Linked DNA regions of Macaca fascicularis. The protein of the gene in region 1 binds, or shares a complex with, the protein of each later gene. Links are inferred from orthologs where the notes say so. Each region holds a gene or a part of one and is shown in the gene's direction. Other genes may lie near its edges.

Evidence for each region.
Region 2: the proteins of GABARAP (region 1) and WDFY3 are in contact, whole or in part, in a crystal structure (PDB 3WIM), measured with the Homo sapiens proteins. The link is inferred for Macaca fascicularis from reciprocal best matches to the Homo sapiens genes GABARAP and WDFY3. Residues at the interface, in NP_009209.1 of Homo sapiens: Glu17, Ile21, Lys24, Tyr25, Arg28, Pro30, Lys46, Lys48, Tyr49, Leu50, Val51, Pro52, Asp54, Leu55, Leu63, Lys66, Arg67, Phe104; in NP_055806.2 of Homo sapiens: Glu3342, Lys3343, Asp3344, Gly3345, Phe3346, Ile3347, Phe3348, Val3349, Asn3350, Tyr3351, Ser3352.

What each region holds. Positions count from the first base shown.
Region 1 is NC_088390.1:7,276,721-7,292,972, reverse strand, and holds GABARAP (gamma-aminobutyric acid receptor-associated protein), read left to right. Parts: upstream 1-1,167; 5' UTR 1,168-1,286; coding exon 1,287-1,376; intron 1,377-1,948; coding exon 1,949-2,027; intron 2,028-2,167; coding exon 2,168-2,286; intron 2,287-2,704; coding exon 2,705-2,770; 3' UTR 2,771-3,205; downstream 3,206-16,252. Other genes in the region: PHF23 (PHD finger protein 23), read left to right, coding at 4,345-4,378, 5,946-5,977, 6,130-6,222, 6,838-7,675, 7,767-7,981; DVL2 (segment polarity protein dishevelled homolog DVL-2), read left to right, coding at 9,347-9,540, 12,860-12,929, 13,231-13,376, 13,507-13,616, 13,719-13,854, 13,985-14,075, 14,219-14,288, 14,448-14,587 and 4 more. UniProt on the Homo sapiens protein: Ubiquitin-like modifier that plays a role in intracellular transport of GABA(A) receptors and its interaction with the cytoskeleton.
Region 2 is NC_088379.1:49,040,055-49,056,101, forward strand, and holds part of WDFY3 (WD repeat and FYVE domain-containing protein 3), read left to right. Parts: intron 1-2,406; coding exon 2,407-2,506; intron 2,507-4,346; coding exon 4,347-4,507; intron 4,508-5,841; coding exon 5,842-6,071; intron 6,072-7,131; coding exon 7,132-7,241; intron 7,242-8,903; coding exon 8,904-9,086; intron 9,087-9,941; coding exon 9,942-10,099; intron 10,100-11,165; coding exon 11,166-11,243; intron 11,244-12,682; coding exon 12,683-12,910; intron 12,911-16,047. UniProt on the Homo sapiens protein: Required for selective macroautophagy (aggrephagy). Acts as an adapter protein by linking specific proteins destined for degradation to the core autophagic machinery members, such as the ATG5-ATG12-ATG16L E3-like ligase, SQSTM1 and LC3.

The sequences.
Region 1 (16,252 bases):
GACTCCCTCAGACCTGTAACCAGCTTTGTGTCTTTTTTTCCTTTCTTCTCTTTTAAACCATGCATTATAACTTTGAAACCAAAACGGCCCTAGGTCCTTCTCTGGGGTTTTGGGAAGTGAAGGGAGGGAACTTTGTTTACATGCACCCTGTCCCCCGAGCAGAGAGGGAAGAGACTGCTGTTGGACTCAAGGGGCAGGGGGAAAGGTGGTGTTGAGTATGGGGATACAATAATGAATGTGGCCACCAGATGCTTTGGCGGGAAGGGCCGAGGATGTGCGCGCTGGTGGGGAGTGGAAAGATACCTTCGGAGCAGCAGGCTAGAAAGCAAGTAAGGAGAAACCTGGACGGCCAAAGGGCGTAGAGCTGGAGAAACGTCGGGCTTCGTCCGGGGTACTGACGTGGACACGTTAAGCGGGCGCTGGCCCCAGGCGGCTGGCGCCCCGACCTCCGCAGTCCGGGGAGGCGTAGGTCCCCACTCGCCGCCGTCGCCCAGCCGGCCCCGCCTCCCCGGCGCCCTCCCAAGCCGGCCCTACTTCGCACACCCGCCACGTGACGCTCCGCCCTCTTTGAGATCACATGATTTCACTCAAACCGTGCGGTGTTCCTCCGCGCTGGCGTAGTCCCTACCCCTCCAACCTCCTCTCCAGTCCCTATTGGTCTACTCATTCTTGGCACTTAAGCGTTCTGTACATCTCTCCAAACATCTGTTTTCTTTTTGACCTCTTACTTCTGGAGATCATCTCCGCCACTTGGGTACTACTTTGTTTTGGTGTCAACGGCCGCCTTCAGCGTAGCAATACGGTTCGTGAATAGCTAACCTTGTAATTGTCTCTGCTGTTCCTCTACGTTGTTTCCGAAAGGAACTTGGAGAAGCAAGTCTCGTATGATGATTACCATATCTTACTCCTCTTCAGCCCCAGCTTCGTTGAGGGGAAGGTTGGGGAACAGATTTAGAGTTATTTTCCATGACCAAAAGCCAACCGTCTTTGCTACGTCGCCTGCGTAGCCCACAAATTGATTCCAAAGCGATTACGCTAATGGCGTGAGGGGGCCGGTCAGTGGGTGGTGCTACGCTAGCAGCGTTAGCACCGCTGAGGTAGTGGCGTATCTTAGTGGGGGGGCCGTCCCCGATAGTCGGGGGCGGGGTTGGTGAATAGGGAAGTGGCGCAAATTCGTGGATCGCTCCGCTGAATCCGCCCGCGCGTCGCCGCCGTCGCCGCCGCCCCCCGTCCCGGCCCCCCCGGGTTCCCTCAGCCCAGCCCGGTCCAGCCCGGTTCCCGGGAGGATGAAGTTCGTGTACAAAGAAGAGCATCCGTTCGAGAAGCGCCGCTCTGAGGGCGAGAAAATCCGAAAGAAATACCCGGACCGGGTGCCGGTGAGGACAGAAGCCAGGGCCGAGGGCGCGGGACGCTTACGCTGACGCCACAGCCTGGCCTTGGATCTGGGACGGGCAGCGCAGGGATCAGGCTGCTGGCTGTGTTGGGGTTGGGAGCGAGCCTGAAACTGCTGTCCTTGGGACCGAGGATGAAAGGAGTGGGGTAGTGGTGGACGTGGGGTTGAGAGGGATGTGGACAGGAGAGAGAAACCTTAGCATTTGTGTGAGTGGAGGCCTTAGAGAGTTTGACAGCCTGAGCCTCAAATGGCCATACCCCCAACTAGCTAAGGTTGCGAGATTGAATCACTAGTGGACCCAGACAAGTCATCTCCGTCTGATTAAGATAGTTGTTTATGGTGACGCCCTATTCGGTGGATGGATCCTGGATATTTAAATAAGCTCCAGTCAGTGAGGTCAGGATCTCTGGGACTCAGTGCTGCACCGCGTGTACAAAGACAAAGAGATGAGTCTGGGGTAGATTTAGGTACTAGGAATATTGTTACTTGAGTTCCTGACAGGTGCAGCTTTGGCGCTGCATTCCTTCTGTCTGCTAATTTTCGTCTCTTTATCAGGTGATAGTAGAAAAGGCTCCCAAAGCTCGGATAGGAGACCTGGACAAAAAGAAATACCTGGTGCCTTCTGATCTCACAGGTGGGAACCTGACCCAAGGCTCAGGCTTGCTTCCCGTGGGTGGGAGTGCAGTCTCTGTGGGAGAAGGCTCCACCTAGCAGCTGTTCTTTTGAGGGCATTTTTGACCTCTGTGACTTTCTTGCACCTTGTATCTTTTGCAGTTGGTCAGTTCTACTTCTTGATCCGGAAGCGAATTCATCTCCGAGCTGAGGATGCCTTGTTTTTCTTTGTCAACAATGTCATTCCACCCACCAGTGCCACAATGGGTCAGCTCTACCAGGTATGGTGACCGGGAAGTGGTGGAGGCTTTGGAGAGGAATCTTGGAAGAGCGTGAGGGGAAGAAAGTGTTGTTACATCAGTATTTTGGACTAGCTTCCTCGCTTGCCTTAACATTTCATAATAGCCGTGGTTTGGGGGTTGGGACAGAACAGTAGGAGTAGAGAGAAGGAAAGAGAACAGTGAACTAGAGAAACTGTTCGGGACTCTTCCCAGTCTTCCTCCCCATTCCAAAGCAGCAGAAAACAGTTTGAGGCCTTTTTTGCCCAGGACTGCAGAGATTATATTGCTCGTGTGCTAGGCCTTGGAGTCAGTGAAGGAGTCGGGCACTGGTTTCTGGTTCTAGAAGAAAGTGTCTGGGTCGTGGTTGGTTTAAGGAACTGGAGCCCAGTTGCTGAACAGTTTTCTGCCTTCATCCCAGGAACACCATGAAGAAGACTTCTTTCTCTACATTGCCTACAGTGACGAGAGTGTCTACGGTCTGTGAAGCTGCTGTCCCTGAGCTGGAGGGGGGTCTCATTCTACAAAGAGAGAGGTGGCCCCCTTTTCTTGACCTCCTCCTCCTTCAAGCTCAAACACCACCTCCCTTATTCAGGACGGGCACTTCTTAATGTTTGAAGTTTTCTCTCCAGCCTCTTTTCGGAGGGGTAATGGTGGAGTTGGCATCTTGTACCTCTCCTTTCTCCTTTCTTCCCCTTTCTCTGCCCGCCTTTCCCATCCTGCTTTAGACTTCTTGATTGTCAGTCTCTTCACATCCAGTGATTGTTTTGGTTTCTGTTCCCTTTCTGACTGCCCAAGGGGCTCAGAACCCCAGCAATCCCTTCCTTTCACTACCTTCTTTTTTGGGGGTAGTTGGAAGGGACTGAAATTGTGGGGGGAAAGGTAGGAGGCACATCAATAAAGAGGAAACCACCAAGCTGAACTGAATTTTGCCTTGTGTTGCTCCCCTCGTCCCGCTGATTTTTAGTCTTTCCAAGGTGTCAGTGGGTTTCAGTGGTGGGGAAAGGAGTATTGGGTACAAGCTGGAGGAATAGAAGTATATTTTGGTTTATTCTGTCCATGTTGGGCTTTTCCCTGTCTGCAAAAAGAGGGTGCTTTTTTGTGATGGAATGGAATACTGAGGATCATTTAATGAAACTTTAGTTTTATGACATGTATGTGAAACTGAATGTTAAAAATGCTCACGTAAAACTTTTGTTTTTTTTTTACTGTGGGTTCCTGTGGAGAAAGTTCCAAAGTACCTGCTTTAGGTGAACATCCACATTTGCTAGAACATTCTAATTAAGGAAGATATTTTCATGTGTGTAAGCTAGTAAAACGGCTGTTCTCAGTTGCATGTCACTTGGCTAGACTTTTGCCGGTGTGTGGGATTCAGCAGAGTGGAATCAGGGAGGGAGAAGACTGGGAGGGGGAGCCATTATCGCCAGGAATACTTCATCTCCCAGCAATCATTTCTCCGGCAGGCCGGAAGTGGGGCGGTCCCTCGGGGGAGAAAGAAGCTGCAGAACGAGACAGTATGGTGGCCGAGAGTTCTAATCCCTTCTTCCTCTTCTTTCTTGGTCCCGCCCAGCCTACATCTCCCAGGGGCCTGCGCGCGCACTTCCGCTCTCTCCTCTGGCTCCCGGTCTCCCCGCCACTCCCCGGGGGAGGGGAGCGGCTTGGGGCGCCTGCGCCAGCCTGTGGCTTTCTGGGAATCAAAGTTCCGGAGGCTCATGCGGTCCCTTTTCCGCTGTCCCCGGACGGACTACAAAACCCTTGGTGCACTGCGCCTCGGCGCCGGCGGAGGGAGGAGGGAGAGAAGAGGAGGGAGGGAGGAGAGAGGAGGAGGAGGAGGAGGAGGGAGCAGGCGGCCGGCGGCGCGGGGGGAGGGGGCCCGGTCCGGGAGTGCGGGAGGCAGTGGTAGAGGGAGGTGGCGGCAGCGGCTAGCGGACTCGAGTCTCAACCGGGCTGAGGCGGACACTTCTGTGGAGCGAAGCAGTGGGAGCATCGAGCACTAGAGGCGGCACCGGGATCCCCGGCTCCGGGGAGGGGGGCGCCGGACCGGGAGGAGGGGAGGGGGCGATGCTGGAAGCCATGGCGGAACCCAGTCCCGAAGGTGAGCTTTCGACCGGCGCGGAGCGCTGAGCCGGCGGGGGGGCGGACGAGGAATCAATTGGCAAACTTGGAGGTCGAGCCCCGAAGCCCAGCGGGGGAGTTCGGGGAGGGGGTCGGGAGGCTGGCCCTGGAGGTGGGAGAGCGACGAGTTGAGAGACCTTGGAGAAAGAGGAGTGGGAGACTGGGCTGGGGTAGTTGGAGATCAGACGGTGGGGGGGTGCGGGGGATAGGAGCTTGAAATCCGGAGCCTCGGGGGTTAGGGCCCGAAAGGGCCACCGGCAGATTGGGGCCCTGGAACTGGAAGGTTGGGGAAATCCAGTGGCCGGGAGTTGCTCAGGAGGGAGGACGTAGAAGAGGCTGAGTGAGGGGCCCGGTAGTTCGCCGAGGTGGGGTAGTTTGTGGCGGTGGTACGGGAGCTCCGAATAGTTGCCGCCGGAGAATGCCCGGTGATTGTCGGAGGGGTGGGCAGGTAGTTGTGGGGAGAAGAGGGGGTCTGGGTATTGTCTACGGCAGACGGACCTGTACCGGGGGGTAGTTGTGGAGAGAGCGAGCCAGGAAGCGAGGCGAGCTGGGTAGTTGTAGGGGGTGGTGGGGCGGGGTGGGGGGGTTAAGACCGGCGACTTGCGGGGGGGTTAGGGTTGGTCCGCGAGGGTTAGAGCCTGGGAGTTGCTGAGGGTGAGGGGGGCATCGGTGGCAGCAAAGGTGGCTGCTGTGGAGAGAGAGTGGCTGGTTGGGGGGAAGGGGCTGGAGTTGAGGGGTCCATAGCCTAGTGACTGGGTGGTGAGTACGGGGGCGGAGGGGGGGCGGCGGCGGCCGGAGAGGGCTCGGAACAGGGCCGGGGGGCCCGGCGGGGAGCCCGGGGAGCTCGAAACGAGGAGGGGCCAAAGCCCCGGATGGGGGCGGAGGGACGGCGAAATTGTGGGGAGCGCGGTATGGGGGGGGCAGGTGGGGCCGCGTCCGGGTTAGAGCTCCCGGGTCTGTCCCGGCCGTGAAGTAGCGTTGGATGCGTGTGCCTGTGTGTGTTTGGGGTGGGGGTGAGGGGCGCGCCGGGCCGCGTGCTCGAGTAGAAGGGGCCGGAGGGCGGGGAGCGGTTCGGCGTGGTCATCCTGGACCCTGGGGGCCGGCGGGCGGCGTGTGCGGTCTCGGAGGGCCTGAGGCGGTGGAGCGCGGTCGGGTAGGAACTCGGGGCTCTGGACGCATGTGAAGGACGGGGGCGGCGGGCGGCGGCCCGGACGCGGACCCGGGAGCGGTAAGGTGGGGTGGGGCGCTGAGGGATCCGAGTAGACTGGAGTCGAGAGAGACCGTGAGTTGGGGGGGGCGGGGCGCCGGGCCTCCGGTTGGGGGAAGGGGAGCGCTATAGCGAGGCCTCAGAGGGCGCCGCGCCCAGGCTCCGCCCCTCGCGGGGCGGAAGGGGGAGCAGGGGCGGATCCAACACAGCTGGGGGCCTGCTGGCCTGGCAGAGGGACCTGGGAGAGCCGGGGGTTCACTTAGGAACAACAGGGTTTAGAGGAGGAATTTTACACAGACTGTTTCGTAGTGTCTTGACTCAGCTTTTATTGCTTTTCCAGATCCACCTCCGACCCTGAAGCCAGAGACTCAGGTGAGATTTCCTTGATCTTTGCAGCCTAGTAGCCCTGCCTGACAACGCCCCCGCCCCCCTTTTCTAGACGCCTCACTTAGGGACTGTGTCTCTGAGAATGCCCTTCTTAAACTGTGTGGCTTTCCATGTGATCCATGTCTCCTTCCTTTCAGCCACCAGAGAAACGGCGGAGAACAATTGAGGATTTCAACAAATTCTGCAGTTTTGTTTTGGCATATGCTGGTTACATCCCTCCTAGCAAAGAGGTAGGGGCAAGAGAATTACTGACTTGAGGCTCGTGTCGTGGGACTAGAGAGTGGCTGTTGTTCACATAGAACTGTACTGCTTTATAGGAGGAAGCCCCTAGAAATATGTAAGACTAGAGGGAAGTTGGAGATTCTTAGGACTGTGGTAGGAAAGCTGGTATGCAGGGAGTGGATGGCAGGGCTAGCTAGCTTGAACAGCAGTGAAAAGCAAGGGGGTTCTGGAGTTGCTGGTCGAGATTTTGGCAGTCTTGAGGTGCTGTGAATAGAAGGTGTTTATGGATAAATTTTAGGGAGATGAAAATGGTAACAAATTAGGCTACACAGAAAAAGAGCTAAGGACATAAGGCTCTGGTCTGGGGGACACCGTGTTCCACAGGCCCTGGGCGGGGCAGCGGTGAGGTATCAAGACTCGAAGGTGGAGGTAACACGGAGTGGTCACGAGGACATGCTGATGGGAATTGGGGTGGGGAGAAGTTTTGGGAGTACAGTGGGATTTAGTGGTTGAGGTAGAGGACATTTTGGGGTAAATCTAGTCACTCCTTTTCAAGCTGGGTTTGTGGAGGGGCTGAGATGACACTGGGGTTCTGCTGACCCTGGTCTCTTTCCCCTTTTAAGGAAAGTGACTGGCCCGCCTCTGGCTCCAGCTCTCCATTGCGAGGAGAGAGTGCGGCCGACAGTGATGGCTGGGACTCGGCCCCCTCAGATCTTCGAACCATCCAGACTTTTGTTAAGAAAGCAAAGTCATCCAAGAGAAGGGCAGCCCAAGCAGGTCCCACCCAGCCAGGACCCCCAAGGTCCACTTTCTCTCGTCTGCAGGCCCCCGACAGTGCTACCTTGCTTGAGAAGATGAAGCTCAAGGACTCTCTCTTTGATCTCGATGGGCCCAAGGTGGCATCTCCTTTGTCCCCCACATCCCTGACACATACCTCCCGGCCCCCTGCTGCTCTTACCCCCGTGCCCCTTTCCCAGGGGGACCTCTCCCATCCTCCTCGAAAGAAGGACCGAAAGAACCGAAAGTTGGGGCCAGGAGCTGGGGCTGGCTTTGGGGTGCTTCGGAGGCCTCGGCCAACTCCTGGGGATGGGGAAAAGAGATCTCGAATCAAGAAGAGCAAGAAGCGGAAGTTAAAAAAGGCAGAACGGGGGGATAGACTCCCACCTCCTGGGCCTCCCCAGGCACCCCCCAGTGATACAGACTCTGAAGAGGAGGAGGAGGAAGAGGAAGAGGAAGAAGAGGAAGAGATGGCAACAGTGGTAGGGGGTGAAGCCCCAGCCCCTGTGCTCCCAACACCCCCCGAGGCTCCTAGGCCCCCTGCCACAGTGCACCCTGAAGGAGTCCCTCCTACTGACAGTGAAAGCAAGGAGGTGGGCAGCACTGAAACAAGCCAAGATGGAGATGCCAGCTCCAGTGAAGGCGAGATGCGGGTCATGGATGAGGACATCATGGTAGAATCAGGTGAGAGGTTTGGGCTGGGGCGAGGGGTTTGAGGGTGTTGTGGATCCAACAACTGCTCAGGCAGAATACCAAACAAACCTTTTTTCCCCAGGTGATGACTCATGGGATCTGATCACGTGTTACTGTCGAAAGCCCTTTGCAGGGCGGCCCATGATTGAGTGCAGCCTGTGTGGGACGTGGATCCACCTCTCCTGTGCTAAGATTAAGAAGACCAACGTCCCTGACTTCTTTTATTGCCAGAAATGCAAGGAACTGAGGCCAGAGGCCCGGCGGTTAGGGGGGCCTCCCAAATCTGGAGAGCCCTGACGGCACCAACTTTAGCCTGGAACTTCCAAATGATAACATGATTTGGGAACTGAGCCTCAGGGTCCTCAGCCTACCCCCTGGAGCTTGGATACTGTCCGCACTTCAAGGCAGGAATTCCCAAGGGAGACTTGTTTGAAAATGAGTGTCTCACTTGCCTACCCTATCCGTCCTCCCCACTCTGAACTTGAAATTGAACCCATTACGGTTGCGGGTGGGAGGCTGTCTGTGTCTCTAGACACATAATCTCTGTCTCTTGGACCTGCCACCATCACTTTCTGGGTCAGGATTGGAATTGGGATGGAATGGGACAGTTGTCTATAAAACTCTAGTGTAAATATTAGCACTCCCCTCCCTCATCTTTTCTTCTATTTCACTCCCCATTTATTTTCTTCTACACCGGTTGTATTTTTAATTTTGGACTTCCCCTACTGGGCATGGCAGCTCAAAGGTGGAGTACTAGAGCCTGGCCAAGCAAGGAAGGAAAGCAGAAAGGTGACGATTCTCACTCACCTCTTTTGTTTTTAATAATATTGGCCGCTGTTTGTACAGACAGCCTGCGTGTTGTAAATAAAGCAGAGTGGGCTCTTTTGTGTTTATAGCCCTCACTGTCCTGCTTGGGAGGGAGGCTTTGGTGGCTGAAGACTAGCTGGACGTGGTGCTGAAAGCCACCTCTCACAGTCCAGTCTGAAGATGGCACAGCACTGGGCCTCTCCCACCCCAAGATACTTGAGTAAGCCACCTCAGAGCTTTCATTGTATTTGGCCCTCCCCACTCGAGTCTAGGAACCCCCACAATCCCCACCTTCACTCCCTGCACGCACACTCCTGAGGGTCAGAGTTGCTTCGCGCTCCCGCCGGTGTGGGGTAAAGCCGGGTGGGAGCCGACTGTCCGCTTCCTGAGGGCACAGGCCAGCTTATCCTGGGTGCTCCGAGGACCTCGGCTGGGGTACACCTTTGGGGGCTGGGAGACCGTTGCCGAAGGCAGCGATCACGTGGCGGGGGCACTAGGAGGAGTCACGCGGTCACGTGACTGGGAGGGGTCACGTGACGGGGGCGGCTGAAGAGCGCGGGGTGGGCGGGCTTAGGTCACGTGACATGAGGAGAGGTGGGCGGGGACCTGGAGGACGCTCGCGTTGTCGGTGGCGGTGGCGCGCGGCGGCCGCTGAGACCGCGGCTTTGAGTCGCACCTCGCGGCCCGCCCCCCGCCGCCACCCTTGCCGACCCCTGCTTTTTTCCCTTTGCTTCTCTCCAGTACTGGGTCCGTCCTGTCCGCGCTCGCTCGTCGGTTTGCGGGTGTGCGCAGGCGCGGCAGGGGCCATTAGCCCCTTGGGTGGGCGGTGGAGCCCGGGAGCGCGCGGGCGAGACCATGGCGGGCAGCAGCGCTGGGGGCGGTGGGGTTGGGGAGACGAAGGTGATTTACCACCTGGATGAGGAAGAGACTCCATACCTGGTGAAGATCCCTGTCCCCGCCGAGCGCATCACCCTCGGCGATTTCAAGAGCGTCCTGCAGCGGCCCGCGGGCGCCAAGTACTTTTTCAAGTCTATGGATCAGGATTTCGGGTGAGCGCAAGGCCTAGATAGGACCGACGGGGGCTTTGCTAGAGTGGATTGGGCGACGTGGAGGGGCACACATCTACTTCGGGCCACACTAGGATTTTCTGGCCTGTGGTGGAGCAGATTGTACCATGCTGAGGTAGGTTGACTCTCCCAGGATGGACAAGGTTATGCTTGGATAGATTGAGGCACACGGGCAGACTAGGATATCCTAAACCAGATTAGAGACGATTAGGCTCTACTGGAATAGGTGGAGGCATACTGGTTTATTTTGGAGTGTTTTAGACTGTACTGAGTAAATTCATCTATCGTCTGGTCGTTTAGTACGTTCTCAGGAGTCCTGTAACGCCTGTAATCTCAGCACTTTGGGAGGCCGAGGCGGGCGGATCACGAAGTCAGGAGATCGAGACTATCCTGGCTAACACGGTGAAGCCCCATCTGTACTAACTAAAAATACAAAAAAATTAGCCGGGCGTGGTGGCGGGCGCCTGTAGTCCCAGCTACTTGGGAGGCTGAAGCAGGGAGAATCGCTTGAACCTGGGAGGCGGAGGTTGCAGTGAGCCGAGATCGCGCCACTGCACTCCAGCCTGGACGACAGTGCAAGACTCCATCTCCAAAAAAAAAAAAACACCAAAAAACAAAACAAAACAAACTTGGGCCATTATGGACTCTACTGGGCTGTATTGGTTAATCCTGGTTTATCTTGGGGCAAGACATGGTTTTATTGGAGCACTCAGTATGGGGGCAGACAAGGCTGTTGGTGCCCATGCTAGTACAGGTAGCTGTATTGGGGTATTCTAGTCTATATTGGTGCAGACAGCTGCGTGTGGGGACATTGTAGGCTGTGCTAGAATAGATTGGGCTATCCTAGGGTAATTTGGACATTCAGGGCTATCTTGGACTAGATTGGCATGTAAATAATGCAGAGAAAGCCCTTTTGTGTTTATGGTCTTTGGGGCTGAGCCCTCTCTGGGTCCTCAACCTCTGCTTTTTTTTTTTTTTTTTTTTTTTAAAGACAAGAGTCTCGCTCTGTCGCCCAGGCTGGAGTGCAGTGGCTGATTCTCGGTTCACTGCAAGCTCCGCCTCCCGGGTTCACGCCATTCTCCTGCCTCAGCCTCCCCACTAGCTGGGACTACAGGCACCCACCACCACACCTGGCTAATTTTTTGTATTTTTTAGTAGAGACGGAGTTTCACCGTGTTAGCCAGGATGGTCTCGATCTACTGACCTCATGATCGGACCGCCTCGGCCTCCCAAAGTGATGGGATTACAGGCGTGAGCCACTGCGCCCAGCCCAACCTCTGCTTTTTTGAAGGCAGGCTGGATTAAGTTGAGATAGCATGGGTTTTAGAAGAACTGAACAAACTGGACTCTAGCTAGAAAGATTGTTTGACATGGGAAGGGTGATACTATCTTGGGAGTTATCTTGGCTTTAAGTCAAGGTTCTTCTAGTTGTCAGCAGTGCAATCTTGGACAATTAATTTAAATTTTGTGTCTTGATCTCGTCTGTGACATGGAGAAAATCACAGAATGAAATGGTTAGTTCAGGTGTGTGGTACATGGTGAATTCTTGGTGAATGGTAATTGTCATTAGTATTGAGGCTGACTACTCTATAAAGGTTATGGTGATACACAGTAATTTGTCTTAAGAGTGGACTGAGCTATGCTGAGATTGTGTTATGTTGGGAAGAATCCTACATGATGCTGAGACAGATTGGTAGTGACTGGGCTGTGTTGTCACATTGACAGCAAATGGATTAAGTTGATATATATCCTGGCTCTTATGACCATATTAGGCTAATGGGTTAATTAGACAAGGTGTCCTAATTTGGCGGCAAGGGTGTGTGTGGAAAGAGAGAGAGAAACAACCAGGGCAGAGAGTCTGATGCTTTATATGTTTATTCATTTAGTTGACAGTATTTGTTAATGCCTAAGTGTCAGTGTGTGGTGTGTGGCCAGGACATGGTGTTGATCAGAGTAAGTGTTCATGGTTTGATGTCGTGGTCAAGAAGAAGGGGCAAGTCCAGTCCACCACAGGGAACCCATTGGAGAGATGACCCCAAGGCTGGGCTTTGGGATCTGTCAGGCTGAGCAGATTGCTTCGTGCCGAATTTTGTGCCAGATGAGGCACAGGGGAATGGGAGCGCCAGCTTGCTCTCTCCTTGGGAGCTTTCAGTCTAATGAGGAGCTTCCATTGTTTGTTTGATCTAATGGTGGGTGGTTTTGTTTTTTGTTGTTTTTTGTTTGTTTGAGGTGGAATCTCACTCTGTCGCCCAGGCTGGAGTGCAGTGGCGCAATCTCGGCTCACTGCAACCTCCGCCTCCTGAGTTCAAGCGATTCTCCTACTTCGGCTTCCGGAGTAGTTGGGATTATAGTGTGCACCACCGTGCCCGGCTCATTTTTGTATTTTTAGGAGAGACAGGGTTTCATCATGTTGGCCAGCTCCTGGCCTCAGGTAATCCACCCACTTTGGCCTCTCAAAGTGCTGGGATTACAGGTGTGAGCCACTATGCCTGGCCTCTAATGGGTGTTTTTACTCAAGAAAGGACAGTCTTCTGGAAATGAATTAGTGAAAACTAAAGGCAAGTATAAAAGTAGAGACTTGGTTGAGGACCGAAGCCTTTTTTTGGAAGGTTTTTTTTTTTTTTTTTTTTTTTTTTGAGACAGATTCTTGCTCAGCCGCCCAGGCTGGAGTGCAGTGGCACAGTCTTGGCTCACTGCAACCACTGTCTCCTGGGTTCAAGCAACTCTCCCGTCTCAGTCTCCTGAGTAGCTGGGATTATAGGCACCCACCATCATGCCTGGCTAATTTTTATATTTTAGTAGAGACGAGGTTTCACCATGTTGGCCAGGCTGGTCTTGAACTCCTGACCTCAGGTGATCCGCCCACCTCAGCCTCCCAAAGTTTTAGCATTACAGGCATGAGCCACCGTGCCCGGCCTTTTTGGAAGGTTTGTAAGGAACAGGGATGGGCTTGAGAGGAGGCTACCAGCCAGTCTCATTAGATAGGTATCTTAGGCAGCTGCATCAGCATAGGGGATTGCCTTTGAAATTGTACTGAGAGGTTTGAATCAGACTCAGTCAAGTCTTTGGAGCAGCACTACGCCCCTGAGGGTGCGTTAGGGAGAGGAGAAATAAGGAAAGGGGATTGAGTTTGGAGATTTCTTAGGTGTCAGAGTGAGTTTTTTCAATGTAAGAGAAGACCTGAACAGGGCGGGAGAAAGTCAGCATCCTGGAGCCCGGTGAAGATTGGGAGGAACTTTGATGGGGGTGGGGGTGGGGGTGGTTGGTCCAGCTCACTGACCTCCACCTTGTCTCTTGGCAGAGTGGTGAAGGAAGAAATTTCAGATGACAACGCCCGCCTCCCCTGCTTCAACGGAAGGGTGGTATCCTGGGTAAGAGGTGCAGACGCCGAGGGCTGGGTCCCCTCTGCATTTCCAAGCTTCCCCAGGCCTCAGTCCGTTTCTGTAGCCCTCTCCCAGGCCAGGTATTAGCAGCCCTGGCTCTTTACCTCTTATCTGTTTGGAGAGCCAGTGAGAGGCCCTCAGCCTTCTCCTTCTGGAGTCTCTAATACTTGCTAGGTTATTTTGCTCTTCTCCAGCTCTCTGAGACCCTTTTTCGTTCTTTCACTTACTGCAACCTGTCACACCCCGACTCCCAGCTGAGCGCCACTGTTTATTGTTTGCACCCTTCTAGCTGGTGTCCTCAGATAATCCCCAACCCGAGATGGCTCCTCCAGCCCACGAGCCTCGGGCAGAACTGGCGCCTCCAGCCCCACCTTTACCCCCTTTGCCACCCGAGAGGACCAGCGGCATTGGGGACTCAAGGCCTCCATCCTTTCAGTGAGTCCTTCTGATTCTTGACTTCGAGGGAGGGAGGTGAGGAGGGAACCCAGGCCTTTTGGTAGGGTACGCCTGGGATCCGGAACCCTGTTCTCCTGATATGGATTGGAAACCATCTCTGCCTGTCCAGCCCTAATGTGTCCAGCAGCCATGAGAATCTGGAGCCTGAGACAGAAACCGAGTCAGTAGTGTCACTGAGGCGGGAGCGGCCTCGCAGGAGAGACAGCAGTGAGCATGGCGGTGAGGGGCAGGCCTGGGGGCTGGGAAGGGCTGGGCCAGACCCCAGCCTTGGTGGGGTGAGCAGGGGGAAGTTTGGTTCCTGAGCTTCCTGTCCATATGCAGCTGGGGGCCACAGGACTGGTGGCCCCTCAAGGCTGGAGCGCCACCTGGCGGGATATGAGAGCTCCTCTACCCTCATGACCAGTGAGCTGGAGAGTACCAGCCTGGGGGACTCTGACGAGGAGGACACCATGAGCAGGTGTGGCTCCGCACAGCTCTCCCCAGCGCACCCAGCCCCCTTTCTTCTCCTCCAGTCAATCCTCTGGTTCTTTCTCTTGGCCCCATGACCACTTTGGCCTACGTTTGCTCTCCTTCCAACCTCCTGGCAGGTTCAGCAGCTCCACGGAGCAGAGCAGTGCCTCCCGCCTCCTTAAGCGCCACCGACGGCGGAGGAAGCAGCGGCCACCCCGCCTGGAGAGGGTGAGGGGTTCCCACGGGAAGGCTGGTGCTGGGAGAAGGTGGGGCATAGGCTTTGGTTTGGGTGGTGCCTGGACACTGGCAGCACCCCAGGGTTGACCCTGGGTCATTGAAGGGCACTCTAGCTCCTTCTTTTCCCACCACAGACATCGTCCTTCAGCAGCGTCACAGATTCCACCATGTCTCTCAATATCATCACAGTCACGCTAAACATGGGTATGGGGAGAGCCTGTGGCTAGGGCGTGGGGAGGGCCTGGTCTCTAGGGTTCCAAGGGTCCTGCGGCTGGGGCTCCTCTCCTCACATGGCCTCTCTCTCTAGGGTTCTGGGGGTCCTGCCGCGGGGGCCTCCTCTCCTCACATGGCCTCTCTCCACAGAGAAGTACAACTTCCTGGGTATCTCCATTGTGGGCCAAAGCAATGAGCGGGGAGACGGAGGCATCTACATTGGCTCCATCATGAAGGGTGGGGCTGTGGCGGCCGACGGACGCATTGAGCCAGGGGACATGCTTTTGCAGGTGTGCTGGGGTGTGGCCACCGAGCTGCCCTGCACGGGAGCCCTCAGCCTCTCCCACCATGCCTCTGACCCACTTCCCCTGCTTCCAGGTGAATGACATGAACTTTGAGAACATGAGCAATGATGACGCCGTGCGGGTGCTGAGGGACATTGTGCACAAGCCTGGGTAAGTTGCCAAGCAGGTTGCAGGTCCTCAGTTCTCTTTTTTTCTCTTTTATGTTTTGTTTTGCAATTTTAATAAGTAGTAAGGCGTGGTGGCTCATGCCTGTAATCCCAGAACTTTGGGAGTCCGAGATGGGTGGATCACCAGAGGTCAGGAGTTCGAGACCAGCCTGACCAACATGGTGAAACCCTGTCTCTACTAAAAATACAAAAATTAAGTGGGTGTGGTGGCGCACGCCTGTAGTCCCAGCTAGTGAGGAGGCTGAGACAGGAGAATCACTTGAACCCCAGGGGGCGGAGGTTGCAGTGAACCGAGATCACACCGCTGCACTCCAACCTGAGCGACAGAGCGAGACTCCCATCTCAAAAAAAAAAAAAAAGTGCTGAGACATAACATTGAAAGTACGTGAAACAAATGTGTGACGTATCAATACTAGAGTGAATATCCATGTCACTGCCACTTAGACCATCAAATAGGAGATTGCTGATATTCTAGAACTTCCTCCCCAGATGTCCCTTCCTGCTCCCAAATGCCTCCCTCCCCCAGGGGTGGTCACTCTCCTGACTTCTTTGGCTATCACCATAACAGAGGAGAGCTTTGCCTCACTCGATAGTTACCATTCTTGCATGTATCCTTGAACAGCACGGTTTCATTTTACCTGTTTTTGGTCTTTCTGTGAATGGAATTGTACAGCGTGTACTCTCTTGTCTCATTTGGCAGTATGTTTTTAAGAGTTTTCCATGTTGATGAGTCATCCGCATTGTGGTGCCTTCCACCCTCACCTTCTCCAGCCCAGCCGCGATGTGCTTGCTTCTCCTTCTCTTTGTGTCTCTTAATCCATCCTTGCTTCAGGCCCCCACTCTCCTGAGGCCTCCTCTTCCCCTGCGCCCTTGACTGGACTTCTCTTCCCCGTAGCCCCATTGTGCTGACTGTGGCCAAGTGCTGGGATCCCTCTCCTCAGGCCTATTTCACTCTCCCGAGAAGTGAGTGACACTCAGGGAGGGGGCCTGAAGTTGGGGGTGGGGGCTGGCCAGGAGGCTGGGGCTGGACCTCTGGTCATGGGGAGTGGGTGGGAGGAGGGTCCAGGCAGAGGTGGAACAGGAGGCTGAGTCAGGGAGGGACTGGGCTGGCTTTTGGGGACTGAGAATGGGTCATTTTGGTGCCATCTCTGTCCCAGATGAGCCCATCCAGCCAATTGACCCTGCTGCCTGGGTGTCCCACTCTGCGGCTCTGACTGGCACCTTCCCAGCCTATCCGGGCTCCTCCTCCATGAGCACCATTACATCTGGATCCTCTTTGCCTGATGGTGAGCCACCAGCCCACCGCATCCCACCCTCCCAGCAGAAGGCTGTCCTGCAGTGGTCTGACCCATTGCCTTTGTGGGAGTGATCCCTGACTCTCATTCCCTGTGGTCTCCTTTGCCAGGCTGTGAGGGCCGGGGTCTCTCCATCCATACGGACATGGCATCGGTGACCAAGGCCATGGCAGCTCCAGAGTCTGGAC
Region 2 (16,047 bases), on another chromosome or scaffold:
CCTTTGTTTTACAGACTTCAAAACTTTTTCTAGTTAAGATTTGATAAGCCCTACTCATTACTACTTATCTCATTAACCACCTTGAGTTGATTATGAGCCTGAAAGAGTAACTTTCTTTTTTTGAGACAGGGTCTTGCTCTGTTGCATAGTCTGGAATACAGTGGCACAGTCATGGCTCACTGCATCCTTGACCTGCCGAGCTCAATCAATCCTCCCATCTCAGCCTCCCAAGTAGCTGTGACTACCGGCACACACCACCGTGCCAGACTTTTTTTTTTTTTTTTTTGATAGAGACGGGGTTTTACCATTGTCCCCAGGCTGATTTTGAACTCCTGGGCTCAAGTGATCCACCCACCTTAGCCTCCCAAAGTACTGGGATTATAGGCATTAGCCTCCATGCCCAGCCAGGAGTACCATTTTTTTCAAAATGTTTATGTCCTTCTGTGACTGCAGAGCTTTATTCCTTAGCAAATTATGATAACTCAAGCTATTGGATAAAATGGTCTCTGATGTAATTATAAGGAAACCCTCCTGTAACTGTTGGTCTGCTGTTAATCACTTAAAAGTCCTCACATCCTCTTCAGTTTATAGGGATAAGACACTCAATGTAGTATCAGCTTGAAAGGACTAGACAGGCCTTGGTCACAAGTCTCCTGCTCGCTATTGTATTAATCTGTTAACTACACAGGAAAATTTATCAAGATTAAAAACAACATGAGATGTTCTTCACTTTTTCCCAAATTAGTTTAATGACAAACCAAACTCCTAAGCACTGGTCTTCTTTTAATTCTTACTAGACCCATATTTTGTCATTTTAAAACAAAATAAGTAGTCTTATGCAGAAGAAGGAGCAATTTTCCTTACAATTTTAGTTTAGTGGTTGGCTTTTGAGAACTTAGGTTAGTGTTCTTGTTCTCAATATAGAACTTTTATTCTAGCTACTTTCTTAAAACATTTAACAGGACCACCTTGAAAATCAGAATAGAAGGGAAAGTAGAACAGCATTCTAAAAGCCCACTTTTGTAACATGGTCATAAATATAGTACCAGATCTCCCTATTCAAGAATAAGTAGGTTCTTCTATATCATTTGCAAAACCTCAATACTGTGCCTGAATCTAAAACATACAGATCTCTTTTTAAGAAAGGATGTTATGACATTTATTGAGTTGTTTAATATCCAACTCCTATCAAAAACCTGGCTGAAACTACTGGCATTTGAGGGTGACAAAAGGCTCTTTCCTACATCTCATCCCACTGTTGCCAGTTCCTTGCTGCTCACCGGATCAGATACTGGAAAGTTATGCACCTGGATTGTCATACCCTAATTACAAGTAGAATTGTTGTCAGTAGACTACAGTTTAACTTTGTGCTCGACACTTTAACATAAGATAATTTTCAGAATCATCTTTGCACATTGTAAAACTTAGCAAAGATACCACCTATATAGAGTTGTTCACTATCCTCCTCACAAAAACCCACAGAGAACATTCCTCTCAGAACAGTTTTAGGAAAACATATGTCTTTGCTGACCATCTATTGTGTTTTTCTTTCCCTCTTACTTTTTTTCATAAAAAGGTCTTGCTATATTGCACAGGCTTGACTCAAACTCAAGCAATCCTCCCACCCCAGCCTCCGTAGTAGCTGGGACTGTAGGCACTTGTGACACTATGTGTTTCTTTTTATAGACAATAGAAAGCTTTGTAAACTATTGTTTTCTTGACACCTATGAAGCTCAGAGCTAAATTTGTGCTTAATTTTTTTTTGTTACAAATATATTTCCTCTCCCTATTGACATGCCCTCTTGATTACTAGATTCTTGGGGTTTTTTATTTTAATGGCTTTATAATTCATTTGTTATTTATTTTATCTGTATTTCATTATAAACTGCCATATCTCTTTTGGAAGTGAGGTGTGCTAACAGTCAAATATTTATTATATTGCTAAACAGTTTTTATATAACAATTTTTATATAACAGTTTTTATATAACAATACTATATATATTTATATATAGTATTGTTATATATATATAACAGTTTTTATATAACAGTTATTATAACAGTTATATAACAGTTTTTATATAGCAATACTATATATATTGTTTATATATTATATGTTATATAATATAAACTGTAACCATATAATAAATATAATGTTTAGAATACTATGTTTTAAGAAATTGATTCAAAAGAAGATGATGTTTCACCTTTACTTTAAATTTTTTTTAATTCTGTAGTTAGAAAATATGTGAAAGTCCATAAGCATGTATACCATCTCTCATGGCATTTTAAAAATTTTATCAGTAGGATTTTTTAATCTTTTTAATACATTAGGTAATGTAAATATGATTGAGCTCATATTTTTTTTGTTGTTGGTTCTGTTTCTAATCCTAAATTTTCTTGATTAGGCTTCCCCTGAAAGGTCTACAAGAACTCAGCAAAAAGAATTTCAAACTTACATTTTGGATAGTGTGATGGACCATTTGCTTGCAGCTGATGTGTTATTAGGTAATTCTGTGTTTTTATTTTATAAAAATACCTATAATCACTTTCCTCTCTAAGCCCCAAGTAAAACTACTTTTTAACATCACCTTTTCTCTTTCCTTTTTTGTCTGGCTTCTCATACTCAACATTATATTTGTGAGATTTATCTTGTTGCATGTAGCAGGAGTCCATTGTTTTCATTAATATATTGTATTTCATCATGTGATTATATCAATTTGTCATTTTACTCTTGACAGACATATGAAAGTTTTCACCTTGAGATAATTTTAACAGCTGCTATAAACATTCATGTTCATATGGACCACATATGTGTATAATACTTACACATATCTATTGAGTATATACCTATGAGTGGAATTGTTGGGTCATAGGTATATGTATGTTATCTTTTTAGTATGGCTTCCAGGACATAGAGTCAAAACACATTGAAATGTGTTTTTTCTGTATGTCTATATCTAGTTACAATAAAAATATGAAACTTAATACATGTACAATGAAGCCAACATTTGTGTATAAAACAAAGTAGAATTATAAGAGAAGGAAACATAATGGGTTAGTATACTATATATGCTACTTTTGAGTTCCTAGCAATAATACTAATCATATAACCTCTGTGCTATTAAATTACAATTATTTCCCGAAGTAAATTTGCCAGGAAATCTTTAGTATTGTCTTAACATGCAACTATGCACTCTCAAAGTCAAGTCACAGTTTTGTACTTATTCTTATCAGTTTAGAGCAGTCATACTACACAAAGACACAACACAAATAATTTTGATTAATGGGGCAATTTAGCATTAGGTGAGAATAATAAAAATCAAATTCTGTGGCATTAGGTGAGAATAATAAAAATTATTATTAGCATTAGGTGAGAATAATAAAAATCGAACCTCCAGAATTTCTGTGGAGGAAAGGCTTAAAGCAGTGGTCCCCAAACTTTTTGGCACTGGGGACCAGTTTCGTTGGAGACAGTTTTTCCACAGACCGGGGCGGGGGGTGGGATTATGATTTTGTGATGATTCAAGTATTACATTTATCATTTGATTATCGGAAGGATTGTGCAACCCTGGATCCCTTGCATGCACGGTTCATAATAGGGCTTGCCCTCCTATGAGAATCTAATGGCACGGCTGATCTGACAGAAGGAGCTCCAGTGGTAATGCTTGCACACCCGCCTCACACCTTCTGCTGTGTGGTCCGGTCCATGTCCTGGGAGTTGGGGACCCCTGGCTTAGAGGAAGCATTCTGGTTAGGAGGAGGAGCTAGGAGGATTAGTCTGAAAGCAATATGTATATGCAAACACACTGAAAACACTCAGATAGCTTTAGAAAGAGAGCCAATGGTAATGATGGAGGGGCTAAACAAACCCCTCAACATTGATTATACTTTATTTTTCACAATTTTCCTGAAGCTCTTTTCTGTCTGTGTTACTTCACTGCTATTAGAGCTATACTCTAAAACAGTTTTGTTTTACAGTTTTACCCTTTATTACTTACACAAAATCAATTAAGAGCTAATAAACTGGCCCTTTTTCTCTCAAATGGAGAACACCTGTGACTGACAGTTTATGTTGCAGAACTGCTTGTTTATCACAGACTCTTGTTTAGGCAATAGGAGACTCCACAGGTAGTTTCAATCCATAACACTTTATCCTGCTGAAATTATTCATCCTGATTTCTGACCATTGAACGTCATTTTCTTGAAGTAGTACATAAAAGCTAGTAGTCATATTTCTACATGTTGTAGATACACTTATTTTTCCTTAGCCTTATTTTTTTGAGGATCTGATCTTGTGTTGCTAGATATCAATTTTCTTAGACATTTTTTTCCTACTGGAATTTAGGGGAAGACGCATCTCTGCCTATTACCAGTGGAGGAAGCTACCAGGTATTGGTGAACAATGTGTTTTATTTCACACAGCGTGTGGTGGACAAGCTTTGGCAAGGCATGTTCAACAAAGAATCTAAACTTCTTATAGATTTTATAATTCAACTAATTGCACAGGTAATCCATTGTCACTATCAGTTGTAGAGTACATGTTTTCCTATTGAAAACTTTGCCTATGGTATCAAAATTGTTGAAATGAAGTGTAACTAATAAGATAATGAATGTTAACATTTAATAAAAAGCTAAGCTTATTAAAAGTGAATGGAGACAGGCCAGGCACAGTGGCTCACACCTGTAGTATCAGCACTTTAGAAGGCGAAGGCGGGCGGATCACTTGAGGTCAGAAGTCGGAGACCAGCCTGGCCAACATGGTGAGACCCTGTCTCTACCGAAAATACAAAAATTTGCCAGGCATGTTGGTGTGTGCCTGTAATTCCAGCTATTTGGGAAGCAGAGGCAGGAGAATCACTTGAACCTGGGAGGCGGAGGTTGCAGTGAGCCAAGATCACAGTACTGCACTCCAGCCTGGATGACAGAGCGAGACTCTGTCTCAAAAAAAAAAAACTGAATAGACATACAGACTTTGAACCCCTCCCCATTACCAATTGCCTGGTGCCAGTGTGTCCCTTGTAAAGTTGCCTAGGTGTTATTCTTTGCTACCCCGATAGATTTAAATACCTTAATATGGTTTGGTAGGTTTGTACTGTATACTACATCCATGTGTAAAGGTTTACACAGCATGAAGAGTTGATATTAAAAGAATATTCTCTTACCAGTTGAATCTTTACAAAGTTCCTTGTAGTTTATATTCTCTTGAAGTTGTTATTTTTTGTGCATGTTCACAGTACTTTTAATTAAGGGTTTGGCCTGGTTTGGCACAATTGATTAATCTTATATAATACTTAATGTAGAAAGTAGGAAATAAAGTAGGAAATACCATTAGCATATGGTACACAGATGCATAGGCTCTCTCATGTCACCTAAGTCTTTTTAAAGGGATATATTTGTATTTAAGCCAAAGATAAAAATTCTCAAACGAGGGGATGAAATTAGAATGTCAAAAAAAATGATTTTAGTAACATCTTAATTTTTTCAGTACTTTTGAATAGTGATCATTTATCCTAACAAAATATATTTGTGAGGAGACTCCCCTAGATGTCACATCCTCGTGTTCTCAGGGAGACTGCTCTGCCCACAGCAGCGTTAGTGGCTCCCCTCCTTGGGAGCTGTTTTTTTTAATGTAGCCATCATATCATTCATTAAGTGGTATTCATGTGACTCATGGGTTCTGAAATCCATAGTAGCAAGAGCTTTGTATCTTTTAACTTAGCACCTTCATACTTAGCATGGCATCTGGTATATAATAGACCTAATAAAAGTTCAGGTGTGAATGATTAACAGGTGTTTTACTTTTGTCTATTGTACTAAAAACATATCTTCCGTGTCTTTAGTCAAAGAGAAGATCACAGGGATTGTCACTGGATGCAGTGTATCACTGCCTCAATAGGACCATCTTGTACCAGTTCTCACGGGCACACAAAACTGTTCCTCAGCAAGTAGCTCTGCTTGATTCACTCAGGGTCCTCACTGTAAACAGAAACTTGATCCTAGGACCTGGGAACCATGACCAAGAATTTATTAGCTGTCTGGCCCACTGCTTGATCAATCTACATGTTGGAAGGTAAATCCTTTAGGTTCAGTTTGCCATGTTAAATTTGGCTTTGATGTTATTCCAACAAAATTCTTCATTTTTTTGATAGTAGCCTTTCTTTTACCCTTATTCTGTTTTATTTAAACCTTTATGCAAAAAGGTAAAGGGCAAGTGTTGCATTTTTGCAGTGAAATTATGGGTATCTTTTTTCCTTTAACTTAGTTTTCTACACCTGTAAAATTTCCCATTATCACCATATGTCACTTATGTAAGGCAGTTTGCTTTTAAAGCAAACAAAATACATACCATTGAAGTCTAAGAGAAGTAAAAAGTAAAGCTCAATGCAGTGTTATGTGTTAAATGAGTAAAATTAGTATTTTCCAGTTGATTGCTTTGACAGATATTTCATTAGAGTCTCCCGGGGCCAAGCCTTGAATTAGGGGGTGGTACAAAATGTGAGTAAGATAGACCCTGTGGCAGCCTTCTTGAGGGGAAACAGCTAAGCAAGACCAGTCAGCTGTATTGAGTGATCTGCTAGGAACAACCCAGTGCTTTGGAGGCACATAAGAGGGGCCCCTAACCTGAAAGAAATACCTGCTGAGCTGCAGCTTGAGACCTGGTTGGGGAGGACAAGAGAATGGAGACAACTGCTACTGGAAGAAAGAACAGTCTGTATGAATGCCCAGAGGGAAGAAAGAGTGGCACCTTAGGAGAACTGCAACTATTTCACTACAGAAGCAGAGTAGTGAGATATAAGACTGGAGAGAGGACACAGGCATATTAGAAAAATGTTAGTTGAATGAACATTTTGTAATTGTTAGGTTAAAATGTTCACAATAATCAAAAGGCATATTAAATATTAAGGTAATAATCTTGATGCTATAGATTAGTCTAATTACATTTAGTCAAGTGGATTTATTTGATCACCTCTTAAAAATGGCATCTTCCTGGCAAACTAGAGCTCTGTTCTGTGCATCTGCTGAGTAGACATTCAGTGTCTGCTGGTAATGGAAATAGAGTAATTCTTAGTTACTGTAGTCTGCAGCTAATCATTTCCTTCATAAAGTTTAAACTGACTGGAATTTTTCAGCAACGTGGATGGATTTGGACTGGAAGCAGAAGCCCGCATGACCACATGGCACATTATGATCCCCTCTGACATTGAACCAGATGGTAGTTACAGCCAAGATATTAGTGAAGGTAATTGCCTCAACTTGGGATGTTTTTAAATTGTTGAAGTTGTTTTATCTCCAGTTTTTAAGACATAACCAACAAACTGGCTGCAGAAACTGCCAGCATTGATAGCAACTCTCCCAGTAGAGCAACCTATACATAGACAAAGCGTCCCCTCATGCCAGTAAGAGTAAAGCACAAACCAGTAATGTTGCTAAGCTCATCATTTCTTAGTAACACTGTGAGATTTGGTGGTGGTATTAATATTTACATTTGCTTAAGTTCAAATACTACCTTGGAATTAACTATAAAGAGAACTGCCCAGTGGTAATGCTAGGCATATCACATCAGAGTAGGCAAATATTGCTTGAGACAGGTTATCAATAGTGCTATTTTTTATTCTTCTTTATACTCTCTCTCTCTCTTTTTTTTTTTTTTTTTTTAAAAAAAAAAAAAACAGAATCTTGCTCAGTCGCCCAGGCTGGAGTGCAGTGGCACAATTTCAGCTCACTACAACCTTTACCTTTCGTGTTCAAGTGATTCTCATGTCTCAGCCTCCTGAGTTACTGGGACTGCAGGCGGGTATCACCATGCCTGGCTAATTGTTTTTGTATTTTTAGTAGAGACAGAGTTTCACCGTGTTGGCCAGACTGGTCTCAACCTCCTGACCTCAAGTGATCCACCAGCCTCGACCTCCCAAAGTGCTGGGATTACAAATGTGAGCCCACTGTGCCCAGCCCCTCTCTTTTTTTTCAATCTGGTTTTCCCACTGATCCTGTAAGCATTGCATATTGAAGTCCTTGTATGGATTGATTTCTTACTTCCACATGTTTAGTGATAAAGAGAAATCACTCTGGTAGTGTTTTTCTCCTCAGAAATACTGTGCAATAGTTTTACATATGGTTTCATTGTCAGGAAGCCCAGCACTCGTTTTAATTTCATTCCTTCATTTAAACATGAATTTATTCTCTGTTCTTTCACCAAAATGTTTTGAATCCTAAACACCAAAGATGTGGTTATTATTTTCACCCCCTGAGGAACTGGCATTGGTTCTCATAGCAAGGTCCTCACAATAGCAACATCAATATCATTTGGGAACTTAGTAGAAAAGCAGATTCTGTTGCCCTACTCTGACCTACTGAATTAGAAACCCTGGGGTGAGGGACTAGCAGAGCTTGTTATCACAGGCCCTCAGGTGATTGCTGAGGGCTGACTGGTCTGGAGGAGGTGTCAGGCATACAAACAAGGAATCCAAAGTAAGAATGAATTTCATAGTAAAAGTCTTCTCAAAATATTTCTTTTCTTGTGCAAAATATTCAAGAATACTAACTTAGTTTTGAACTCACCTTAAACATTCAGATCTAAAAATTACTTTTAAATGGGGGATAAGTTTTTAATCTAGAAAAAGTTAGATAATTACATGTATATAATTTCCAATTTTATAAATAAAAATGTAGTTCTTTTGTATGAATACAAAGATATTTTTAATGTTTTCTAAATAGGCAGCCACAGTTTGAGTTGTCTAAATAACCTTTTCACTGGGCTAGATACAACATGAGCTTTTTTTTTTTTTTTAAACAATTAAATATTGTAGTCAAAATTCCTACATGTAAACATGAAGAAAAATAAAAACTAACTTTATGCCTTGTTTTGGTCATTTGCTTGCTTGTTTGTTTGTTTGTTTACTAGGGCGTCAGCTTCTCATAAAAGCTGTCAACAGAGTTTGGACTGAACTGATACATAGTAAGAAACAAGTCTTAGAGGAGCTGTTCAAAGTAACTCTGCCTGTGAATGAAAGGGGCCACGTGGACATAGCTACAGCAAGGCCACTCATTGAAGAAGCTGCCCTGAAGTGCTGGCAGAATCATTTGGGTAAGGCCTATAGAGATATTATGACCGGGAGATTTACATTTGGCTGTCATATATGGGTATACTTTAAATATGTGATTACAGCATTCCCAAAAGGATACTATAAAGTCAGTAGAAATGAAAATCAATATAACAACCATTCTAGAATGATTATACTGAGATCTTACTTTTCTTTGAGTTTTTTTTTGTATCTGAGGTATGTTATACATTAGGCATTTTTGCATTCAGAATGTTATACATTGCTAGCAGCTCTAGTATGGTCACTGTCTTGGCTACAGGTCAACAATCCCTTAACTATAATTTTGAAATTCAAAAAGCTCTGTTTTTTCATTAATTTGGTGCCAAAACTGACTTTATAGCAGAACCTAACTTATTTTTCTTTGTCCTACTTGGTATGGGAATATTCATACATTTTGTTGCAGTAATATTGATGTATTAAATTATAGCTTTTTACTGTAGATTCTCTGGTGCCATTGTATAATCTACAGTGTATAAGCTATATAACCTTTTAAAAATCCAAAACATTTCTAAGTTGCGAAGTATACCCAACACCAAAGATTTTAATTAGGTGATTATGAATTATTAATATAGAAACTCATAGTTAAATGTACATGTTATTACAGAGCTGTGAAGTTTCAACCAACTGTAAGTTCAGGTAATACAATAATTTGTAAGCAATCATCCTTAAACAAGATTACCAATAAATAAATTTGTGATATCTAAATGTAATGTCTGCATCTGTAATATGTGCTGCTTTTGTTAACTACAGCGTTGTAGTTTATAACTACATATGAAAGTTTTAAAAGGAAGATTCATAAATGGAGAAATTATAAAATAATCTAATTTAATTTTTCATAGCCCATGAAAAGAAATGCATAAGTCGAGGAGAAGCTTTAGTGCCCACCACACAGTCCAAATTATCCCGTGTCAGCAGTGGCTTTGGTCTTTCCAAGTTAACAGGATCAAGAAGGAATCGAAAAGAAAGTGGTCTTAATAAACACAGTCTTTCCACCCAGGTACTTTTTTAGTTTCATTGATGATATTATTAGAAATTTATATTTCAAGGTTTAGTTGTAGTATTTTATATAATATACTTAACATGTACAAGCAGTTGATTGGAAATGAAACTTTCCTGTATTTTTGCTTTAGAATAAAGATAGAAGTAATCCAGACTATGGGAATTTCTCTCATTTTCTTATGATAAAAGTATTTATTAGTGCTATTTACTTATACACATCTTATAACTGGATAGAAGATGAGATATAGAGATTAATATATGATCAGACTATGGATAATTTTCTCTCAATTTTCCCAACTTTCAGTAATGTTATTACTAATAATTATATAAATTTTAAGGCAATAGCCGAACAAGTCTTTTTAAATTTTTAGACTTGTTGTATATACCTATGATTGATGGTTTTTTAAAAGCTCATCTGCCTCCAGCATTAACTTCTTCCTCCTACTTCCTTCACCATTCCAGAATCTAAGTGGCAGCTATGAAAGGGTCTGAGTATGTGTCAGCCATCTCATGCATCAGGTTAGGTTTTCTAGGAAGCAAACTCTGAGATGGAGTTTAGTGCGCATAATGTATATTAGGGGGTGCCCTTGGAATCAATACCTGTGGAAGGGAGAAGAAAGCAGGATTGGATATAGGGAAAAGTCAGGCTGCAGTGCTGGTCTAGTGACAGCCTCAGCCAAACTAAGTGGAGCTTTGAGGACAGAATACCCTCTTAGAATTGACCTCCATTAAGCTGAAATATGTGATTCTTCTCACCCCTAGATCGTTGAATGTGGGGCGCCCCATCTTCCTTCTGCAGCTAAGGCCATCCCTGAGGGTGTCGACAGTAGCCCAGAAACGTGGGCAGCAAGCCCTTCCTTGAAGGGGGTTGGGGGGTAGGAGAGCATGCAGATCTGTGTCCATCACACAAGCATGGAATTCATTCCGAATTTTTGTTTTAGTTTTCTGTGTTGGTGCTTTTGGCAGAATTTTAACCAATTATTTAGCATTAATTTCAAGGGTAATTAACTATTTTTTTCCAGAAATCCATGAAATATTAAGACTCTTTTTCCATCCATTGTTAGGAGATTTCGCAGTGGATGTTTACTCACATTGCTGTTGTTCGCGACTTAGTAGATACACAATATAAAGAATATCAGGAGGTAAGGATTTATAATCATCATAATGGTTTGTTTTACATTTTTTGTATGTAAAAGGTCTCTGTTTGTGCTGGTATCTCTCTGCCCATTTTAAGGTACTTGCTGGACTGTATTCATCATCAGATGATGGTTTTAATTATTCCTGCCATCAGATACTTTGGCTACTGATTTTAGGATGGAAAATTTTAATCTTCTGTCAACAAACTGCATTTCAAAAAGCAACTAACTGAAAATGAGCCCAGCTGAATTCTGTTGACATTCACTACTGACACATTACATGTCTTTGTTCCTAATAAAAATAAAAATGTAAGGATGAGCCTTCTTTTTCAGGCTTTTAACAAGGAGATTGTGAAAACATGCATCCAAGTCTCTGAGAAGTCTCTTAAAATTGTAAAAAATTACAAGATTAAATGAAATTATTTTTTACTACCCTACAAGTGCTTGGTGATTATGTCAGTGAAAAATAAATTTATTGAAATTCTCTTGGTAAATTCATAATTACTCAAAAGCTTATCTTAAATGTTTTATTCTCAGATTAGCTATTCTGGATCTATTAAAGGTTTCTGAATGGTTAACTGCTAATATTTTATGGATATCACACTAGATCCTTAGTTTCCCCAACCAAAGAACATATAAGTACTACTGTGATAGGTAAATTTTTAATTATTTACTCAGTAATCTTTACTGACAGTTATGTTTTAGAAATCTTTATTTTTAGATTTAAATTGTGTATACTTACATTCCATGAATCGTTGGGCAAGTTATTTATCATTGTGTACTGTTGAAATGTTACATATTTGTCATTTGATAGACAAGAAGAACTTGTACTGTGACATAATTTCCTTTTAAGTAAAATGGTTTGAATCTATCCCAGTGGCCAGGAGAAAATGGTTTCTCTTTGATTTTTGTATGAATGTCAAGTTTCCTCTTAGTGCTGCATGTTTATATTCTTCATCTAAAATCTTTGGAAATGTTTACCTAGTTCACCAGTAATCAAGCCTGTTGGCACTTTTTCTTCATCTGATTTCCTAGACTATCCCCCGTACATGTTGTGGTAGCTATTTTCCAGTTTGGTGTATCTTTAAATTACCATATGTATTTATTAGCGCACATAGGGCTAACCATTTCAATATATTTTCATCGTAATATTACCGTCTTTCCTGTGCCAGATAAACAGACTTCTTTGAACTCTCTGTTCCACTGTATTGCACGCTCTACCCTATACATGTCTGTCATTTACTTGATGCTTTAAGAAGTCCACCTTCTACAACAAACCCGCTTACTTTAACCATAAACGAATGTAATTTTACTTTTATAGGATTAACTGAAATGGTGTGGATTGTGTTTGTTTCCAAGTAATAACTTGATTTTCAGTGACTTGTAGACTTGTTACTGTTACTCCTGCTTTTGCTTGAAAACCGACCTGGACTCTTTCCTGTCAGCGTCAGCAGAATGCCCTGAAGTACGTGACGGAAGAGTGGTGCCAGATCGAGTGCGAGCTGTTGCGGGAGCGGGGGCTGTGGGGCCCTCCCATCGGCTCCCACCTGGACAAGTGGATGCTGGAGATGACAGAAGGGCCCTGCAGGATGAGGAAAAAGATGGTGCGAAACGATATGTTTTATAACCATTACCCTTACGTGCCAGAAACTGAACAAGAGACAAATGTGGCGGTGAGTATGCAGAATTCAATGATCACACTGGCTCTTTCAAGTTTTTATTTTCCTTTGTAAGCATTTTTTCTCTATTAAGTCAGTTACCTCAAATAGCTCATTTAAAAAATTCAACAAACTCCATTGAATTGATAACTTCAGAGTGGAGGTGGAGTGAAAAGATGCAACAGTGCAAGAAGGAGACATCATGATAAAGAGGTTTATATCAGAGACTCCAGACCCAGACTGCCCAAATTTAAGACCTGACTCCACCACTTTGCTATTATGGCTGGGTTACGGGTCATTAAACCTCTCCGGGTTTTCGTTTTGTTATGCCTGAATTTGAGCAAATAATGGTTCCACCTCATAGGACTATTGGGAGGATTAAGTTCATTAAAATTAGTTAAGTGTTTAAAATAGTGTCTGGTCCAGAATAAGCACTATATATTAGAACACATGAATCTTCTAAGTAGCTCTGATCATATAAGGTGAGGCACCTTGAATTGTTCCAATGCCTCTTGGTTTTCTCTGACGACCACCCTAGCTCCATTTATCTTGTACTGATTGGTTTAACCTCAGTCCTGATGCTAATGTAGATCTTAGCATCAACCTAAGTGTCCATCAGCAGAGTAACATAAATAAAATATGCTATGTTTACATAATGGAATAGTATTCAGCCTTAAAAAAATAAGGAAAGCCTGTCATTTGTAACAGTGTATATGAACCTGGAGAACATTATGTTACATGAAATAAGCAAGGTGCAGAAGGACAAATACTACATGATCCATCTCACTTATATGGGGCATCTAAAACAATCAAACTCAGAAGCAAAGAATAGAATGAAGGTTTACAGAGGCTGAGAAATGAGGGGAATAGGGAGATGTTGGTCAAAGGTTACAGTTTCAGATAAACGGGAGGAATACATTTTTTTGAGATCTATTACATTCCTAGTGACTATAATTGATAATAATGTATTGTACATTTCAAAATTGCTAAGAGAGTACATTTCAAATGTTCTTGGCGCAAAAATTGTTAAGTATTTGAGGTGCTGAATATGTTAATTAGCTTGATTTAATCATTCAAACCATATACATATAACATCACTTTGTATACCATAAACAATTATAATTTGTCAATTAACAGTAAAATTTCTAAAATAGTAATATATGTAGGTCTTAGCTCCTGCTGATAGTTATTAAAAGTTTAGAAGATAGCTCCCTAAAGTCTGCTTTTCTCAAAGCTATTCAATTCTGTCAAGAATGCCATACTTGATGCAGCTGTGCCTTAAAGCACTATAATTTCTAATTCTGGAGCACTGTAAAAAAGGTAATCTACCCATATTTTTGCAGCCTATTACTAGCACTTACTTTTATAAGAGCAAAGCAACAATATGATCTTTTAATTGTTAATCTTTTTTCCTTAACAATCTATTAAGAATTTAAGACATTAGCAGTTTGATAAAGTATTTCTTATTGAGTCAATGCTTAAATTGAATCCATTCAAGAATACTAAAATATAAATATGCTTTCCCAAATATATGACCAACTCACTGTTTAGATTTAACTGAGGCATATACTTTTGAATTATTTTTACAATAACCATAATATTTTTATCTGTGCTCCTTTCCTTCCTTGTAATAATGTCATTTGTTTACAAAAGTGTATTTTAACTTCTATATCAGATAAAAACAAAGTACCCTATTAAGAGTTCACACCTACAACCGTAGTATCATCAGCATTTTACCTAGGCAAAGGAATTCACCAGCCTGTGAAATCGAAACAGACACTGTCATAAATAAGTATGTACCAGATGGAACTTATTTATTTAACAAGTGGGTTACATATTGGAAAATACAAGACAGTTGAGAAATGTTGGAGATACTTTCACCTAAAAGGAAAAAGCAGTCAGGAAGGAGAGACAGTTACAGAATATAGAATTCATGCTGCATAGTTCATGCACAAATCAAGGTCAAGATTAATCTGCTATGGTGTAATTTTCTGAAATAATTTTTATTTTAGTTTTAGTAGTTCACATATTTTGTAAATTTGAAATGCCATTAAATGTCCACTTGTATCTTTTGGAATATGCATCTGGCAGTGTTAAAAACAAATTTTCAAAAAGTTATAATATCTATTATCCCACTGAATTCTACCATCAAATCAAAAAAGAAGAGCTAATATTTACAGAGCACAATGAGCTAGATCAAGCTTCTCCAATCCGAGGCCCAAGGGTCACATATAGCCCAGGATGGCTTTGAATGTGACCCAACACAAATTCATACACTTTCTTAAAACATAATGAGACTTTTGCCAGGCACGGTGGCCCACACCTGTAATCCCAGCATTTTGGGAAGCCGAGGCAGGCAGATCACCTGAGGTTGGGAGTTCAAGACCATGCTGACCAACATGGAGAAACCTCATCTTTACTAAAGATAGAAAATTAGCCAGGTGTAGTGGCGCATGCCTGTAATTCCAGCTACTCGGGAGGCTGAGACAGAATCGCTTGAACCCAGGAGGCAGAGGTTGTGGTGAGCCGAGATCGCACCATTGCTCTCCAGCCTGGGCAACAAGAGCAAAACTCCATCTAAAAAAAAGAGAGAGAGAGAATTTTTTTTTTTAACGTCATCAGCTATTGTTAGTCTTAGTGTATTTTATGTGTGACCCAAGACAAGTTTTCTTCCAGTATGGCCTAGGAAGCGAAAAGATTGGACACTCCTGAGCTAGATGCTCTATGGAGCAGTTTGAATTCATTTTGTTTCAGTCTCATAACAGCCCTCTGAAGTACAGTTAATACTGTTATCCCAGTTTTACAGATGAGAAAATGAAACCTAGAGTAGTTAAGGAACCCCTTCTAGGCTGCAGCTGCGAAGTAGTAAGGTAGGAGTATAGTTCAACAGTCCCTTAGTAGTAGAATCACTTTGAAAAAGAAAAGATTCTAATGTTTGCCCATTTTATGACATTATCCATTGATAGTGAATGTATTCCATGTTAGGTTTTATCTCTCTAGTGCTAACAAAGTACCTAATACTTAATGAATATTGAGTGAATGAACTGCCAGCACTCTTGTCTTCCCTAAGTTATAGACTTTTTTCCTGTGCTTTCTCTTTAGCATTCTATAGAATTTTCCTAAATCTAAAACTTTTCCACTAAAATGGCCTC